Linked DNA regions of Drosophila melanogaster. The protein of the gene in region 1 interacts with the protein of each later gene in a pairwise test. Each region holds a gene or a part of one and is shown in the gene's direction. Other genes may lie near its edges.

Region 1 (7,730 bases):
ATGGTTATAATATATATACAAAATATAGGGATATATCTAAAGTATGTCTTATACATAGACTTCTTCTTATAGCAGACAGAATATATCTGATATATATATCCCATCTTTATAACATATTTCCAACCACTGTACCATACCTTTGTAGCACCAGCAAGTTCTGGATGCTGGCTGCGTGCGCTACTCCGGATCTGGTTGCTGCTCGCTGCTTTCCGGAGGTTGTAACCCCGGATAATGTACTTAATGCATCTACATATTAATGTCGCACCGCCTAAAAAAAAAAGAAAGGGAAAGGGGCCTTGGTGAGGTGCGGTGAGAGGAAGTGCAGGCTGACGAAAAAAAAAGGGAAAAACAGGGGAGAATTACACGGGTGAATTGAGGAAACCTGTGCCACCTCCGCTCCACTTCCCGCACGCCTGCTACTTTGTATGTAATTTCTATTACCACCCCCCGCCACCCACACCCATGGGCGTACGTGGAATCCCTCGTGTCCTTGTGTGTTATGCCTGTGTGTTTGTGTGTGTGTGCAGCGTGTCGTTGTGCTTTTTGTTGTTGTTTTTATTGCACAGACTGGCGACGCAGCGTGTGATTGCCACTTTCCCTCTGCACTGCAAGAAAATGCCCACAACTGGCACTGAAATCAATTAATTTTGGTCTAGAGATGGTTTCTAAAAGCACACCGAGTGCACTTCATTTTGTTTAATATATATTATCTGATCTCCTAACTTCATAGTTCTAATAAACAAATTCAAATCAATTCAATCATTATAATCGATAACTTAATAAAACCCCAATTTAAAAAGACGCCTCATATAATCTTGTCCAATCCTTGGCTATACTAAAACTATGCCTTTTTGAGCGCTCATATATAATTTTAATAATATATATATATTACACAATATATTACAACGTAGTGCAGATTTTCTCCCGGTGTTTTCCCACCCCCCTTTTTCGCTTTTCCCTCCTCACCTGAGCCGCTGCACTTGTTCCATCGCCGTGTGCGTGATGTGAAAGAAGGCAACGCAATCGCCGTGAAGAAGGGTGGTTGCGTATGGCTGGGCGGAATTTTCACCGCCCACTTGGATGTGTCTCCCAGTTGGGCGGGCCGGAAAACAGACGGCAGAGGGCAGCCGTTAAGCTGGGACCGCAATGTGTAAAAAATTACGAGCAAAAATTAAAGCTGGGGTGGGCGGAAAACGTTGGCAGGTGGTCGCCGGAGGCGGGAAAACTCCGCGGTCTTGCTGGTTTTCCACGCTTTTCCATTGCTATTATTTCCGCTCACACGCATGATGAGCCAGCGACAATATGTTGCCATTAACCCTGCAAATTATTGCAGTGTATGCGTGAGTATTGCCACGTTTTTTGTTGCTCGACAAAGTTTATGAGTCGTCTGTGGAAAGTCGATACACTTGAAAGGAGGTGGAAAAACAGGCATGGGAAATTACAAGACAATCTGCGTTATCGAATGTAAAGGAAACACTGAATTGTTCTCGAAATAACAGCCATTATAATGAGTTTATAAAAATGTAAAGGTCATTTGTTTATATTTACAAATGCATCTCATTTTATTAATTTTGTTGTGGTTTTAGTTCCAGTTCTAGTTCCATTACAATAGTGAAAAACTTAAAAGTCATATTTTAATTGCATAAAAAATTATATTCTTGATAATTTCAATAAATTCATAAATATAAAAAAAGCCCCTGTGACTTGAACTGCTTGCTATAAATATGCTTAAGTTTATGGCAAATTTTCAATGTTAGTTAGAGACAATGAATGTGGGATGCTGTTCCTTCGAACAGCGCAGAATATCCTGGGAATTCCCGTGAAATCTAGCTGCCTTCAACCACCCGCTCCCCTCCCCCTCATCCAACCACTACACCTACTTGTGATCGAAAAGGCGGAGGCAAAAAAAAAAAAAAGAAGGTAAAAAGGTAAAAATGTGAAAAGTAAAAGTAAGTAAGGCCATGAATCGCAACCCCCTGCCAAAAAAAAAAAAAATAAATAAATAAAACAACGACAAGTAGGAAAAAAGTTGGCCGCTGGCTGCGCGTCTGGCGGATATAAAAATAAAATAAAATCTATTAGGTGGCGAACCACCCCACATTTATGCGGCAATTTGTTGCTCCTTGATTGTGTCTGTGTGCGACGGGGTGTCCTTTCCGTATGTGCGTGTGTGTGTATGTGTAAAAATAAGTAAAGTAAAGTGTATCATTTTCCCATTTGGCGACCCCTTTTCGCATTTCGCCCCTGTACACAGGCACTTCTCGCACTTTGTCTCAATTCCCAAAACTGTCGCCCCGGCCGTTGCAATTTATGAAGATTTGTGTGTGGCCAGGATGCCAGCGCAGGGTGGGATGCCCAGGATGCAGGACTCTGAATATCACTGGCTCAGAAGCTCAGGGCTCAGCACTCAAGAGTCTTGGCCCACTCCCACTCCCACACGGTTTCGTTTCGACTGCACTTGTTTTGATTTGTTTGGAATAATAACAGATGCTTGCCGTTCATATTATTCATTGTGGAAATTATTAGCGCTTGACAATAAAAATGGCTATTTGAACAGCACTCGAAAGTGAGTGCGCCCCCTTACTCCCCCTCTCACCGACAATCCCCCGCCGCACAACACAAATTGCAATTTGTGCAAATATTTATGTACATTGAAAATTACTCATTTGTGTAACACCAATTAATTTCAACAAACAGCGGCGGGCGCACAACAATGGCCAAGCCATTTATAAAACTTGGCCGCTTGTTGTTGGTCCCTGTTGTCCTTGTTGTCCTTGCTGCCTTGCTGGTCAAACAAATGGGGGAAAATGAGGTCCTTTGTTTCCCCAAAATAAACGATGCCGCTGCTGTTTGAATGTTTGAATGTTTGCTTTGCGGTGCGCCAGCACACGATACACACTGTACAGTGGAGCCCTTCGCCAACAGCCGACAAAGCAGTTCAATCAGCTCGAACAGCTCGCTATTTATGTAATATACTTATGTGTACATATATATATGGTATATATATGGTATGTATGTGAAAAATGCGGGGTTATTGCCTCATTATTGGGACACTGGAAAATACCCTGTTTACACTGCCATTTTTCAAGTTGCGCCAACAAATTGCAGCTAATTAGTGGCCACACTAGCCGGGAAATCCGACGAAATAAGCTCATATACAATATACCAAAACCGGGGTGCACAGCAAATGGCACTCGGCAACTTCAAGTTTTCCACTCAATCAGAGATAATATGAACAAATGGGCGAGGGTCAGACGAGGGTCGGCACACTTTTCCAGGGGTGACCAACTTAAATAATACCTTTCTAGTACTGCAAACGCGGGATGTAAGACAGCTTATAAGGATGGTTAAGGTATCGTTTATTTTAGTTTAAAACCTAGAACATGCGAAGAAAATACAAATAAATGCGTTTATATAATATATATATTTTCTATTGTAAAAGTTTCTGAGAAATCACTATACCATCACATTTCCATGAAACACGAACTGGAACAATGCGATGTAGTCACTGACTTGTCTGTCGTCGATTTGTCATTCGTTTAGTCTTTGAAAAGTATAAAGGTCACCGTTCCGGAATCAAAATTTTTTTTAAAATTTTTAAGATACCGCAAAAGCGCGAATGTAGAGTATTAAAGTGCGTTTTAGTGAACAGCACATGTGTATCCGATCAGATCCTCAATTTTCATTAACTTCCGGAGAAGCGAAATCGAAAAAAAAAAAACACGATCTAAAGACGACTGCTAGTACAGCACGCAGAGGTCAAATGTCTAGATTCTAGAATTTAGATTACAACAGCTGGACTTTGCACACCACTAGAAGGAACTTAGAGAAGGTAGGGTAATCGATTTCAATCGATATAGCTAATCAAGCTGTCAAACCTTTTTCTTTTCACTTTTTCTAGAAGCGAGAATTTGTCCTACATTTTTATTAGGCATTTTGTGAAAGAATCAAAAGAAAAAAAAAGCTGAACGCTAAACAATTCACCGCCACATATCGAGAAGAAGCAATTCCATTCGGTTATGTTCTGGTATTGAGCACCTGGTATTGAGTAAATCGAAAAATTCACAAATCATCACAAAAAGTGCACGTCATCAGGACATACATTTTGCTGCACCCAAGAAGCTAAGTTTGTGACCCAAATAGACCAGCTCCGCCGAGGATCCAGTCCCATTCTCCAGACAGCCGCGATCTCAGGGTGAGTCCCTGACAAGCAGCCCCAACGGCGTCCCAGACGATTGTCCTATCCAGCCCGGACAACGCAGCCGCGGCCCCCAAGACCGAGGCCATGGCGGAGGTTCTCAATTTGGAGAGCATAATTTCCCGTCTGTTGGAGGTGCGTGGCGCACGGCCTGGCAAGAATGTCCAGCTGTCGGAGGGTGAGATACGGGGCCTGTGCCTCAAGTCGCGCGAAATACTGCTGGCACAGCCCATACTCTTAGAGCTGGAGGCGCCGCTCAAGATCTGCGGCGATATCCATGGCCAGTACTATGATCTGTTGCGTCTGTTCGAGTACGGCGGCTATCCGCCGGAGGCTAACTATCTTTTCTTGGGCGATTACGTGGACAGGGGCAAGCAGTCGCTGGAGACCATCTGCCTGCTGTTGGCGTACAAGATCAAGTATTCGGAGAACTTCTTTTTGTTGCGCGGCAATCACGAGTGCGCCAGCATTAATAGAATCTATGGATTCTACGACGAGTGCAAGCGCAGATATACCATCAAGTTGTGGAAGACATTCACGGACTGCTTCAACTGTCTGCCAGTTGTGGCCATTGTGGATGAGAAGATCTTTTGCTGCCACGGCGGACTGAGTCCGGATCTTACCTCGATGGAGCAGATCCGTCGTATTATGCGTCCCACCGATGTTCCCGATCAGGGACTACTCTGTGACCTGCTGTGGTCCGATCCGGACAAGGACACCATTGGGTGGGGCGAGAACGACCGTGGCGTTAGTTTCACCTTTGGCGCCGAAGTTGTGGTCAAGTTCCTCCAAAAGCACGATCTGGATCTGATCTGTCGTGCCCATCAAGTCGTCGAGGATGGTTACGAGTTCTTTGCCAAGCGCCAATTGGTCACTTTGTTTTCCGCCCCCAACTATTGCGGTGAATTCGACAATGCTGGTGCCATGATGTCCGTGGACAATACACTCATGTGCTCCTTCCAAATCCTGAAGCCTGTCGAGAAGCGCAAGAAGTAGAGGACAGCGAGATCTGTAGACGCTTCTAGATTTATTCTTATATATTGTAACACGCGGCACGCGACTCATTCACAATATCCTACACGAAATCGGTTCGAAATCATAATATCCACATACATCTCTAGTCAACCGGATCGAGGGAAATGGCTCAACTACAACGTATACCTCCATGGATCCTAACTGTCTTCAGAGGTATCCACTAGCCAATTCTTGCATATTGTATGATATGTGTAAGTTCACTGAGATTTGAACGCAGAGCTTATGCTTAGCTAATGCAAAATAACGCCATATGCGACTTTTACAAAAATAAACTTACATTTAAAATTTCAAGTGTTTTCATCTAATTGTTGTTTTTTTTCGATTTCCTAATTAATCTTGTCAGCTAGTTTATCCAACTCTTAATTTAAGCACCTTTCCCAAATGTGGAAGCCCTGAAAAGTGTGCTACGAATTCCGGCGGAGTGAAAAGTGGGTGATCCCCCTGAAAAAGAGATTCACCTCCATCTGTTCGTGTTCGGTGACAGAAGTCACCGCCATATTATATTAACAATGCTTAAAAATTAACAAAGCACACGCACACACATGCACACATGCACACGTAAAATGAGTGGGCGATATGGGGGCGTAAGAGAGAGGGAGCGAGCTGGCAGACAGACGACAAACAAAAAAACAGAGACAAAGATACAACAAATTGCGCCAAAAACGCTTTATTATGTCAAAACAAGATGAAAAAAAAAACAATAGAGAAAAGGAACCCAGTGTGGCAACAACAAATTACATTATATATATAATGAGGTCATTAGCGCGTAAACAATCAGAAAAGAAAGTGGGCAATGAAATACAAAGGGTGGGAGCGAGATGGCGGTAGAGCGTAAGGGAGACCAAAAAGAAAACAAAGTCACATGTTTATCAACAAACGGCAAATAAATAAATGTTCTTCGCAAATTTGTTAATAAATCATGAAGTTGACGACCCAAGTCGAAGAGAAAAATTTGAGCAAGTGAGAAGAACAGATTGTCAGGAGAGAAAAGTTCAGCGGCAATTCAGTACTCTTATTTATTTTTATTTCATAAATAGATAGCCCTATTTGTTTATTTAAATTATTATTTAATATGTTTATAAGAAGTATTGTTTAATATATTTAAATTACATTTTAACAATGGAAGATCTAACATTGACGTATGTATGTAGATTCTTATAGTTCATTAGGTAATCTGTTCTTTTGTTAAATATAATATTATTATCCTGACTACACCATATCTATTTAAGCTAATCTTTAATTTTAAATGCCAGTAAATGTGGTAACATTATTCCAACTAAGCTACCAAATTTAATATTCAACTTACTGGCCAAATCCGGACTCTCTTTGCATTTCCAAGAGTATTTCTTGCTTAAAATGGCGTCCTTATGCACACACACACACTCGCACGAAAGGGATATGTGTGTGTGAGATGCTCGGTGTTTGTCGCTGCTGCAGAGCAGATACCTATATATGTGTATATTTCTATATGGATACACGGATATATATGTACATGTTGCAGTAGAAAGGAAATCAATGCAGACAACATTTGGCAATTTGGTAGCAGTGCAATTGTTTTCTCTTTTTCCGGTTAGCTACTCGCATTTATTTGTATCCTTTTTGCTGCAAATTGCCTTCTATTGTTGCATTTGATTTGTCCTCTGGACGAAAAAGAGGTGGAGATATATGGCATGCCACACCCACACACCCATGCACACACACACACACACATACATACTCACTCCGCCATCTCGCTCTGGCTCTAAAGTTTTGTATCTGGGATTCATTGTTTCGTATGCACTGGAAGAAATTTAAGTATCTCTTCATCTACAAAACATTGGTTTTTTATATAAGCGATTTATAAAAAATGTTAAAAGTTATTAATTAGAAATTAGGCACATTTTTTCTATTATATTGTAATAATCTTCAAATATATTTATTTTTTTCTTTTTTTTTTTTTGATCACTCAAATATTGATCTACTATTTAGAAACCTTTGTTAAAATTTCAAACTTTAATATTATATATTTCAAATTATATATTTTTTGAGTTAGTTATAGTACAATATTTCAAAACCTTGTGCAGATTTATACATTAATATCAAATCATTTTGTTAGCTAGAACTCAAAGGCTAAATTTAAATAATTTGTTAATCATTTCGGTTTTAATATTATTAATATTAAAATAAAGTCTTTAAACTCAAGCTCATAATGATATAATTTTTGTGTTCATAATATAACTGAACTTGTGCATTTCTTTAATAGTAAGCATTTTTCCGTTTTTTTTTTCTGACGTCTTTCTTCAGCTTTAAGTTACAGATTAGCATCCTTTGGTCGCCTTTGAATAATTTTATTAATTACAAATTATGCGCCTAATGAAATGGCCAGCAGAGGGTGTGTTGGTGATGTGGGTGGCTCTGCGGGCGGATTCCATGGCCATATCCTTCGATGCTGACGTTGACGGTGGCGTTAACGTTAACGGTAAAGTTAACGCTGGCAGCGACATCGGCACTGCCCACA
Region 2 (5,445 bases), 5.3 Mb from region 1:
GAATCCAAGAAAAACTCCATACCTTACATACAAAAAAAAAAGATTTATTTCGTTTAAAAATAACGCTTGTAACTACTTGAAAAGCTTCTCTGTTTACATTTTACAAAGTTTCAGGTTCTCCCTTGTGTTTTATTTTATATATTATATAAATTTATATAAAGTCTACGATTGGAAAGCTAATGAACAACTAGCCCCTTACTGCCCAGAGTAATCTACTTGTACAAGCGATTGTAGTTCTTGCGCCGGCGATCCTCCTCGAAGTTGTTATTCCTGGCCCACTCCTTGAGGTTGCCCTTGGAGCGCAGCATGGCGGACTTGGAGTCCACGTCGCGCAGCACGAAGGGCGAGAATCCGGCCGTGTAGTCCTGATCCAGAGCGTTCGTCTTGGTCTTGGCAACGCGCGACGGCATCTGCCTGGGCATCGGCTGATCCTCGAACAGGATCGGATTTCTCGAATGCTTGCCGCCCTGGAAGCGAGGCAGGCTCTGATTCTTGTACTTATTGGTCAGCGGACGGCGCGTATTGATGTGAATCACCTGGCGACCGTTCTCGTCCAGACTGACGGCCACACGTTTCAGCGTCTTGTTGCCACAATTGGGGCAAAACACCTTGGTCATGATGCTGGTGGTCTTGTAGCACGCGTAGCAGCGGAGTATATATGTGCGCAACTGCTTGATGATCCGGCCATTGAGGGCGGCCAGGTGGAGATTTAGCTGCTTGAGCACGTTCTGCAGCGCATAATCGGTGGTCATGCAGGCGACGGGCGGCACTTCATCCGTTTCCACTTTGCCCTCGAGCGCTTTCTTGGCCTTCTTGATGTTTGAATGCGTGATCCAGCCATCGTCACCCACATCCTCGTCGAGATTTTGGCTCTGTTTGGCTTCTTGTGGCTCGGATACCTCCTCATCTACTTCGGCCGGCTGGGAAACGAGCAGTTCCGAGAGCTCTTTCTCTTCCTCGGCACTGGGTGCGCATTTGAGCTGCTCGAACAGCTTGTCCAGCTCCTCCTGACTGGGCTCCTGGTCTTGGTCCTCCTCCTTTTCGATGGTCTCGCTGGCAAATGGTTCCTTGCCGGCCAATTGGGCTTCGATGGCGGCTTTAACAGTGTCTGGGGATTCATTTGCCTCCTGCTCATCGCCTTCAGCATCGTCCTCTTCCTGGGAGTAATCATCTTCCTCCTCGGAATCCTCCTCCTCCTCCTCTTCGCCCTCGGGCATGTACCAACCGACCAGTCTCTTGTTATTAGCATCCTGCATCTCCTCGGGTTTATCCTTGGACGCAATGGTCTGCGCCATCACAGGCTCCTGGCGCAGGTGATCAGTGCCCACGTTGTCTGCTTCCAGTTCGTAGGTGAGCGAGATCACTTTCAGATCGATCCCCGAGAGACTCGCGTAGTCACCCGTTTTCTTGGCGAACTCCACGCAGTGTTTAATGCTCTCCGGACGAGGCTCGCGCACCTGGAGGTCGAAGGGCAGAACGCAGAGGCGGCGAATCTGGCGCTTGTTGCGCACTTCGGCCACCACATCCGGCACGGTGAGCACCTGCTCCGCGTATTCCTGTAGGGGATTAGTGGCGGCTTTAGATGGCTCGAATGGGCAAATTGTGCGTGACTTACATTCAGGGGCACGGCGTTTATAAAGGCTGTGGTGTCCGCCACAAGGAACTTGATCTTTTCGCTCGTTTCGGCCATTTTCAGTGCTAATTTTCACATGAAAAACAAAGGACGGCAAAAAATAACAATTTCTGCACGTGTCGCGATTAGTGTGGCTGTAGTGAGCTGTGACCGTTACGTTAGGGTATGCTAAAAATACCAAAAAGTGTTTATGAATTTGTGATTTTAATATTAGTTAATTAAATTTTACATTTTTAAGAGTTAGGCAAAGCTAAATGAATGCGTTCCCTAAAATTTTATTGCTAGCTCTCAATAAAATTGTTAAAATTAATTCATGTTAAAATATATTTCTATGAGATATTATATTATTATCACAGGGAGATATCGGTCCTGACTACTTAGACTTTCGGCCGGACTGTTGGAAAATTACCAAATTTACTTAACAAACTACAAAAAACATCAGTTAAACAAAATATCACTTGACTTAACTTATATTAACATATTTACAGATATGAAAAAATGTAGTAAAATGCCTGGTCTGAGAAATCTATTAATTTGCTGCAGATTTTCAAAAAGCTCATTAGAAGGTCTGCCAGTTTGATCTTCTTGTTTATTTTTTTTTTAACATATTTTCGTATTATCAATACAACTTCTACGAATCAATCACTTAAGCAAGCTATCTTTGCTAATTTTTCAATTTGTAGGCTTGTAAGTGCATTGGATTACATTCAAATTATTTTATTAATTGGCAATGGAATATTCTAGGGTGCTTGCGATATATGGATGCACACTCGCAGCACGGTCACACTGCCCGGCCCATTTAGCTGACAGTTCCATCTCTAGTTTTCAAGCCAAATATGGCGAAGTTTTCATTATCAATTCGTTCAGATAGCAAACTGAATTAGTGAAAGGTGGACGATTTTAAACGGAACGGAGCCAATCCGCCGGATTTTGTGAAAGCCCAACCGAGCGGTACAAGTGTGTTATTCGCTAATAGGCTAATCAATCCAGTGGACACGGTATGTGGGGCCAATGGCAAACCGCCGCCGCAGTGGCTCCCACTGCCGCTCTACCTCCGCAACCGTCGGTTCCGCCACCGTTGCCGGACGCCCCGCCCCCTCCGCCTCCATCGGACGCGACCGCCGGAGCCGGAGCATCAAGCGGTGCCTCTGCACCCATAGTCACGACTGCAGCCGCAGTCACAACGGCCCCTGGATTCAACCCCTATAGCAGCGGCCAGGCGACGGGGGCTGGCAACCCCTATCAACAGTATACGGCCGCCCAGTACGCGGCCATGACACCCGAACAGCAGTACGCACTGCAGCACCACTGGCAACAGTGGCAGACATACCAGGAGGAGTACGCCAAGTGGCATGCCCAGTACGGTGAGCAGGTGGGTCAAATCAATTAGTTATCGACGATCATATTGCTATAGTAGTCTTCCAAATCTTTAGTATAAGCGTGAAATGGCCGCAGCCGCGGCCACAACTACCGCAGTTCAAGGCGTGCCCGCGCCTGTGGTAGCGACTCCTGCAGCAGCACCCGTCCCTGTGGTCGCTCCTCCCGGGCCACAGGCCTATCCTGTCGCACATAACTATTACCAAGGTGTCAGCGCCTCGCCGGCGCAGTCAACTACACCCGTAGCCGTCGCGGGAGCACCGCCACTGCCCGGTAAGATCATGGCCCAGCCGCAGATGTACAACCAGCCGCCGCCGCCACCACAAAAAGGCGGTTACAATCAGCATCCGAATGACATCCAAAGCATGTGGTCAGGACCACCGCCAATGCAACAGCCGCCGCCAAATAGATATGGTGGCGGTCAAATGAACCAGATGAACTACAACATTGCCGGGCAAGACAACCAGGGATTTCCGAATCTCCAGCAGCCGCCGCCAAGTTTGCAGAGACCAACACCGCAACAGCAGCAGCCGCATTTAAACCATATGGACCATGGCCAGTGGGGAAATAATCAACACGGTGTGGGCAATAATAATCGTCCTACCTGGGATACCAGTGGTCCGCCGCCTGATAATACCGGCCAACCCAATCGCTGGAATGGCCCGCCGCCGGCAAATGATGTCAACAATCGCTGGAATGGAACGTCATTTAACAATAACACCAATGATGGCAATCGCCGCTGGGATGGGACTTCAAATCAAGCGCCGTCTGGCGGGGATCAGCAACTAAATCGTTGGATGAGCGAACCACCGCCAAGCCTTCCGAATCCCAATCAGCAGTATCAAAACCAGAATTCCTGGATGAGCGGACCACCACCGAGTATAAGTGATCCGCCACAGGACCATCAGCAGCAAAACAATAGCAGCCAGAATGCCCGCTCGAGTCGCTGGCAAGGAATCAATTCCGACATCGATACACCGCCAATGAGGACTAACAACAAGCCAAATAGCATCCAGAATAGCCGCAATAGTTGGGGTGATGGAGGTGGAGATGGAAACCAAAGCAAGAACCCATTCATTAAGAATCCACAGTCCGATTTTGGCAATTATGGCAACAGTTACAATAGCCAAGATCAAGGTAGTGCAGGAGGAGGCAACTTTGGCGGCTTTGGAGATGATAGTGGAGGCAAGCAAAGCCAGGACAGTTTTGCTGGACGTGGTGGAGGACCCGGCAATAATATTAATAATAACTTTAGTAACAATCGCCGCCAGAACAATCGACGGGATAACAATCGTAACCAGGGATTTTCCGATGAGAGAGGCGGTGGGGATTCTGGTCCAGGCGGCTACAATCCAAATCGTGGCAATTACAATCAGCGCAACAGCTTCAATCAGTCGAATGCGCCCTACAAGCAGTCGCAGCAGAACCGCAATCAACAGCAACCACCCGATTTGGACGAGGCCAGTTTCGATCTGCTGTTCGATCAGTGGGAGCAACAGTTCGAAGAATGGAAGCTGGCCAATGCCAACCATCCGGATCGTGACGAGTATCGACGCTACGAGGAGGAGTTCGAGAAGCAGCGCCGTCGCATCGCCGAGAGAAGGGAGCAGATGCGCCGACGTCGCCAACTGCAGATGGGTGGTTCGGCAGGAGGCTCGACCACAGACATAAGGAAGGAAGCAGCCGCAGGTGCATCCACGACCGCGGAGCAGAAGCCAAATAAGGATCCCTTCGAAGGCCAGGGCCGTTTTGCCGATCAGGGTGACCAGGATCACGGATCGGGTCCCAACTTCGGAAACGGGAACAGACAGTCCGGAAATGCTGGTCATTTTGGAAAAGAGAATCGCCCCTTCGAAAGCGCCGGAGTACCTGCATTCAGAGGCAACCAAGGACCGCCACCGGGGATGCACAACCAGTACCAAACCGCCCAGGAAGCCATCCAGCAGATATTGGACGAACAGCCAGATGAATCCAACCAGGAAATTCCAACCAAGCCGGCGGCATCAAATGAAAATTCATCTGATGTAAAGAAAGCAAAAACGACAGCTTCCCCAGTGGCTCCACCGATTGCACCCGTGGTGCCGCCCGAAGTTAAAGCTCCAGCTGCACCAGTAGTGCCAGATCCGACAGTGGTTCCGCCCACGCAGCCTCCTCCGGTTTCCACAAATTATGGCAAGCGCCGTCAAAGAGCTGCTCCCTCACAAATACCCGCTAAGCAAGTCAAGGAGGAGGAGCCCATATTCACCATTTCCCTGGACGACGACGACGACGATGATGAGGAGAAAGAGGTGGTACAGGACGCACCTAACACGCCCATGGGCAGCATTTTCAAGAAGAACGATGGCATACCCGGTCTGGATTTGGTGGACGATGGCAGTAACAAGAATAATTCGTCCTCAGTCTTCAATGTGGTGCTCAAGGATTCCAGCGAAAAG
Region 3 (4,474 bases), on another chromosome or scaffold:
TTAATTGACTCAGTAACAAAAAAGATTAGTCACGTCGAGAGGTAATAGTTTTTTTTATTCGATCAACAGTTTAGTGTACAAAAATACATTTGTTTAATGCAATCAATCGTTAAATTAATATCGTCTTAATTGAGTGATAACATATGTATGTATATATACTCGGAAGCTGCATTATTTCCATGGATCACTTGAGAATTGCTTAAATGATTGCTAAATTAGCAGAGATTTCATCACATTGTACTTGATATTATTTTCGTTTCTCTTGTTCCTTCTGAAAGGAAGTCTTTTAATTACTCTACAACTCGTCTACGCATATAATCTAAAAGCATGCAAAGAGATTTAAAAGTTCACAACTAAGTGACGTCATGACGGCGCTACCATTGCTCTAGTTCAGCGATAAATAACTACAAAAGAAGCGAAATCAAAGTTGAGTATAGGACACAGCTACAAAAACAACAAATGCGAAGGATAGACTAACATTTGGCGTCGCCGGAGATGAGGCAGATCCGTGCGTCATTTCGTGGAGCTCCTCGTCGGTGTAGGTCTGGTTGGCAGCCTCGACCTTGTAGTTGAATGTCGCCGATACGGGCTTGTGGTCGGAGAGAGTGTAGTCCATGTGGGACTGATAAGACAGCTGGTTGGCACTCAGGGTAATGCCCGGATAAATGTTGCTCTGCACGCGATGCAAAATCCGATCGCACCAGGCGGGTCGCCGCTTCAAGTTGTAGTCATTAGTGCCTTCCACGAACTGCAAGGAAAATCAAATGAACTTTATATGGGTGCTAGAGATAAGGCGAATTAATTACATTCGACATATTGCCTCATAAATTAGTTGGATTTTGCTTTTCTCATGAAATCTGTGGAGCCGAATGAAGTGATTGATTGATGAAGTGATTGGCGGAAATTAAAAATTCAAGTGCAGATAAAATTAATTACACCCACCCCTATATACATTATTTAGATTAAGATTAGAAAGTTCAAGGCAAACTTTGACTGTAGAGATAATAAGATTGTATATTAGATTGTTACCTTAAAAGTGGGCGCAAAGTTGGGCTGCTGCTCCTCCAGCAAGCTGAAGGCGTTTCCCTTCTCCCGGAGCAGATTCAACTGGTCGAGCTTGAGCAGATCAGCGTATCGCTGGTTCTCCACATCCGTGCGGACATCCCAAGCGGACATATCGCCGGAGAGACGGAAGTTAAGATCGCCAAACCAAAAGACAAAGTCGTGATCGAATATCCGGCGATATCCCTGCGCATTGTACTTGTGATTGTCCACGATTTGGTGATAGTCTTCGATGCGCTCCTTCAGCTTCTCATCGTGCGCCGCCAGATGGGAGCAGACGAATGCGACGCCAGTTCCGTAGAGCGAAAGTCGAATGCTTACGGCACCCTTGTTGCCCCACAGCCCTCCAAGTCCCGTGCGCGTGGCTTCTGTCTCGATTTCTTTCATGTGCGGGATGTGCTTGTGCTGTGCGAACATGGTTATAAGAATTCCCTGCAGCTGCTTCGAGTCCACCTTTACGAACTGGTGATCGCTCAGAGAGTCCGCGATCTTCAGCACCCACGGATCGTCATTGAAGATTTTTAGCACCTGCGGTGTGGTGCTCACCTCCTGGAATCCGATTACATAGATATCGGGCAGCTGGTTATCCGGACAAGTGGTGGTGCCATTAAGGGACAAAAGGGAGCTCAGATCCTGATTTCGCGGCGTATGGGTGCCCACGTTCCAGGTCAAAAGGAAGATGCACAGATCCGCAATCGCCGTGGCCGTAACCATTTTTCCGCCGTCTAATTATCTATGATTAATACTTGTTGTTTTGGACGTCACAAGGTGGCTGTTGATGAGTTCATGGGCATCCAAAACAGGTTTACGGATTTGGCAGCATCAGCAAATAAAGCGAAAGGCGTTTTGCACACGCAACTTTCATTTATGTAACCGTTAATTCTTCAGCACTAATTTTTTAAGCCGCTTTAATTGGACTAGGAAGCGCTAGTTGCCCGTATTATTTATAGAATACTCAGATGTCGTTATTTATGTTTATTTGTCCGTCCGTTGCGTGAGCTTAGTGTGACCGCAGCACAACTATTTAAATATACCTTAGGCGGCGGCAAAAATTTTATGGTATCTCGATAGTAACGGAGCTCTGAAGCTCATCGAAAACATCGGCTAACATGAGCTTCTCATCTAATTTAGATTTTTATTTGAAACACATTAGATATTATAAAAGCCAAAAATCAATTTAAGAAATATAAAGATATAAGATTAAAAGTTGTACTGTGCGTAAGTTCCTTTAAAATAATAATACTCTTATTTCATTGTTTTTTTTTTTACGCGAGAATGCCCCTTTGCATTTGCTTGTGCTAAACCGATATTATCGGCAACTAGTCAATTGTGTGTACACACTGGCTAAGGATTTTTCATAAAAATAAACACTTTGTATAAACTTACCTTCCGAACTATTTTACTTAAGTTAAAAGTATGGCTAACAGCTACGACATACCCAGTTGGTGCGTTGTCAAATTCAGCCGCTGCCTTGCCACAAAATCACGTAGCATTTTATTTATTTTAGGGCTGGAAAACCGCCCACTGGCTTACATCTGGATGTGCTAAAGGACGACAAACTAGTACAAAAACTGATGGTGGATGAAAAAAGATGCTATCTATTTGGTCGCAACAGTCAAATGAACGACTTCTGCATAGACCATGCCTCTTGTTCGCGGGTCCACTCGGCGTTTGTCTACCACAAGCACCTCAACATAGCCTACCTCGTGGATCTGGGGTCCAGTAGGTACTAAGATATCTGGGATTCGGAGTAAGCTTATCCATTTACTTTTGACAGCTCATGGCACCTTTATTGGAACACTCAGATTGGAAGCGCACAAGCCCACACAGCTGCAGATTAATAGCACCTTCCACTTTGGGGCTTCTACCCGGAACTACATACTCAGGGAACGACCCTCTGGCCACCACAGCAACATCATGGAAGACCTGCCGCTCAGTGAAACCAGCGATGGAGCTCTCCTGGGCCTACCCGAAAGCCAAACGGAGCTTGATGTGCGTTTGGTTGAAAAGAAAAGCTAAATACTATGTAAACTAACCTTCCATTATCCTGCAGAATCTCACAGAATACAACACAGCCCACAATCGGCGCATCTCAATGCTGGGCATCGATGATGATACCAATATGCGAAAGCAAAACGCCTTGAAACAGGGACGGCGCACTCGAAATGTCACATTTAACGATGAGGAGATTGTCATCAATCCTGAGGATGTGGATCCTAATGTGGGACGCTTCAGGAACTTGGTACAAACCACTGTGGTGCCCGCCAAGAGGGCTCGCTGCGACGTCAATCATATGGGCATCCATTCGGGCAACAGCAGTTTGTCCAGTGCCAATGCCGCACATGTACACCAAATGTTCCAGCAGAGCCTAGTTGACATGAAGCAGCAGCATAGGGAAATGCCTCCGCCCAATGCGGTGCTCCACTCGCCTACTAATTCCCTATATCAAGGTCTACCGGCCGAAATGCATGGCAAGGGTGACCTAGAGCCCATCTCCCCGCTGAGCATTGGTTCCAAGTTGGGCCTATTGCTCCCGAATCCTGCGCCTGAAGTGCTGCCAGTCTATGACGAAGCTGTGGAGACCTCGACATTGGCTCAAAAGTTGGCCGTCGCTAATGCAAACGGTAATAGTTCTCGCGACTATTTGTTTAAAAACTTACTGATTGTTTATAACACCATTTTAGTTCGTCGCTTTGGTGAGGATCCGCATGACTCGAGTGGCGAAGGCGATTCGCTGTGCCCACAGAAAAAGAAATACGCCAAGGAAGCATGGCCAGGTCGCAAGCCCATGTTGGGGCAGCTGTAATTGCGTATTAACAAAATAATTAAGATTCCACCTACGATTTTCTCAAGCATATGATTGACAACACACTCTGGAGTAATATTTGTTTATTAGACTTTTAACGTAAAACAAAACATTTAATATCTTTATCTGATCACATCTTGCAGCTGTGTGGATACCTGGGGAAGGGTATCACATCACGAATGTTTTTAACGCCCGTGACAAGCTGCAAGTAACGCTCAAAGCCCATTCCAAATCCTCCAGTTGGAACTCCTCCATACTTTCGCAAGTCAACGTACCATTCCAGATCCTTCGGCAGATGCGGATGGGATTTTAATATAGCAGGATCGCTTTCACGCAGGCTCCCGCCGCATAATTCTCCAACAGCTGGCATCAGTAGGTCTAGGGCATGAACTCGATTGGGATTTGAACGCGAGACTTTCATGTAAAAAGGTTTCTGCTGAGCTGGCCAATCCACAACGAATACGGGAGCACCACAATGGGCCACTAAAAAAAGTTCTTGGTCCTTGGAGAATCCTTCGTTCAGGCTAATAGGAGTCTTAAGACTGTCCTTGTTTTCCTGCAGTACTTGCAGGGCTTCATCGTAGCTCATTATCTTCCACGGTACTT

What was found.
Region 2: the proteins of Pp1-13C (region 1) and ZAP3 interact in a two-hybrid assay, tested with the Drosophila melanogaster proteins (one study listed by BioGRID).
Region 3: the proteins of Pp1-13C (region 1) and NiPp1 interact in a two-hybrid assay, tested with the Drosophila melanogaster proteins (2 studies listed by BioGRID).

Annotation. Positions count from the first base shown.
Region 1 is NC_004354.4:15,356,893-15,364,622, reverse strand, and holds Pp1-13C (protein phosphatase 1 at 13C), read left to right. Parts: upstream 1-3,561; 5' UTR 3,562-3,832; intron 3,833-3,901; 5' UTR 3,902-4,285; coding exon 4,286-5,194; 3' UTR 5,195-5,522; downstream 5,523-7,730.
Region 2 is NC_004354.4:10,079,493-10,084,937, reverse strand, and holds the start of ZAP3 (ZAP3), read left to right. Parts: upstream 1-2,445; 5' UTR 2,446-2,633; coding exon 2,634-3,005; intron 3,006-3,066; coding exon 3,067-5,445. Other genes in the region: CG2972 (uncharacterized protein), read right to left, coding at 213-1,556, 1,616-1,690.
Region 3 is NT_033778.4:17,003,063-17,007,536, reverse strand, and holds NiPp1 (nuclear inhibitor of protein phosphatase 1), read left to right. Parts: upstream 1-2,387; 5' UTR 2,388-2,478; coding exon 2,479-2,507; intron 2,508-2,569; coding exon 2,570-2,784; intron 2,785-2,839; coding exon 2,840-3,054; intron 3,055-3,115; coding exon 3,116-3,686; intron 3,687-3,746; coding exon 3,747-3,868; 3' UTR 3,869-3,974; downstream 3,975-4,474. Other genes in the region: CG6805 (uncharacterized protein), read right to left, coding at 422-748, 1,030-1,776; AsnRS-m (Asparaginyl-tRNA synthetase, mitochondrial), read right to left, coding at 3,999-4,474.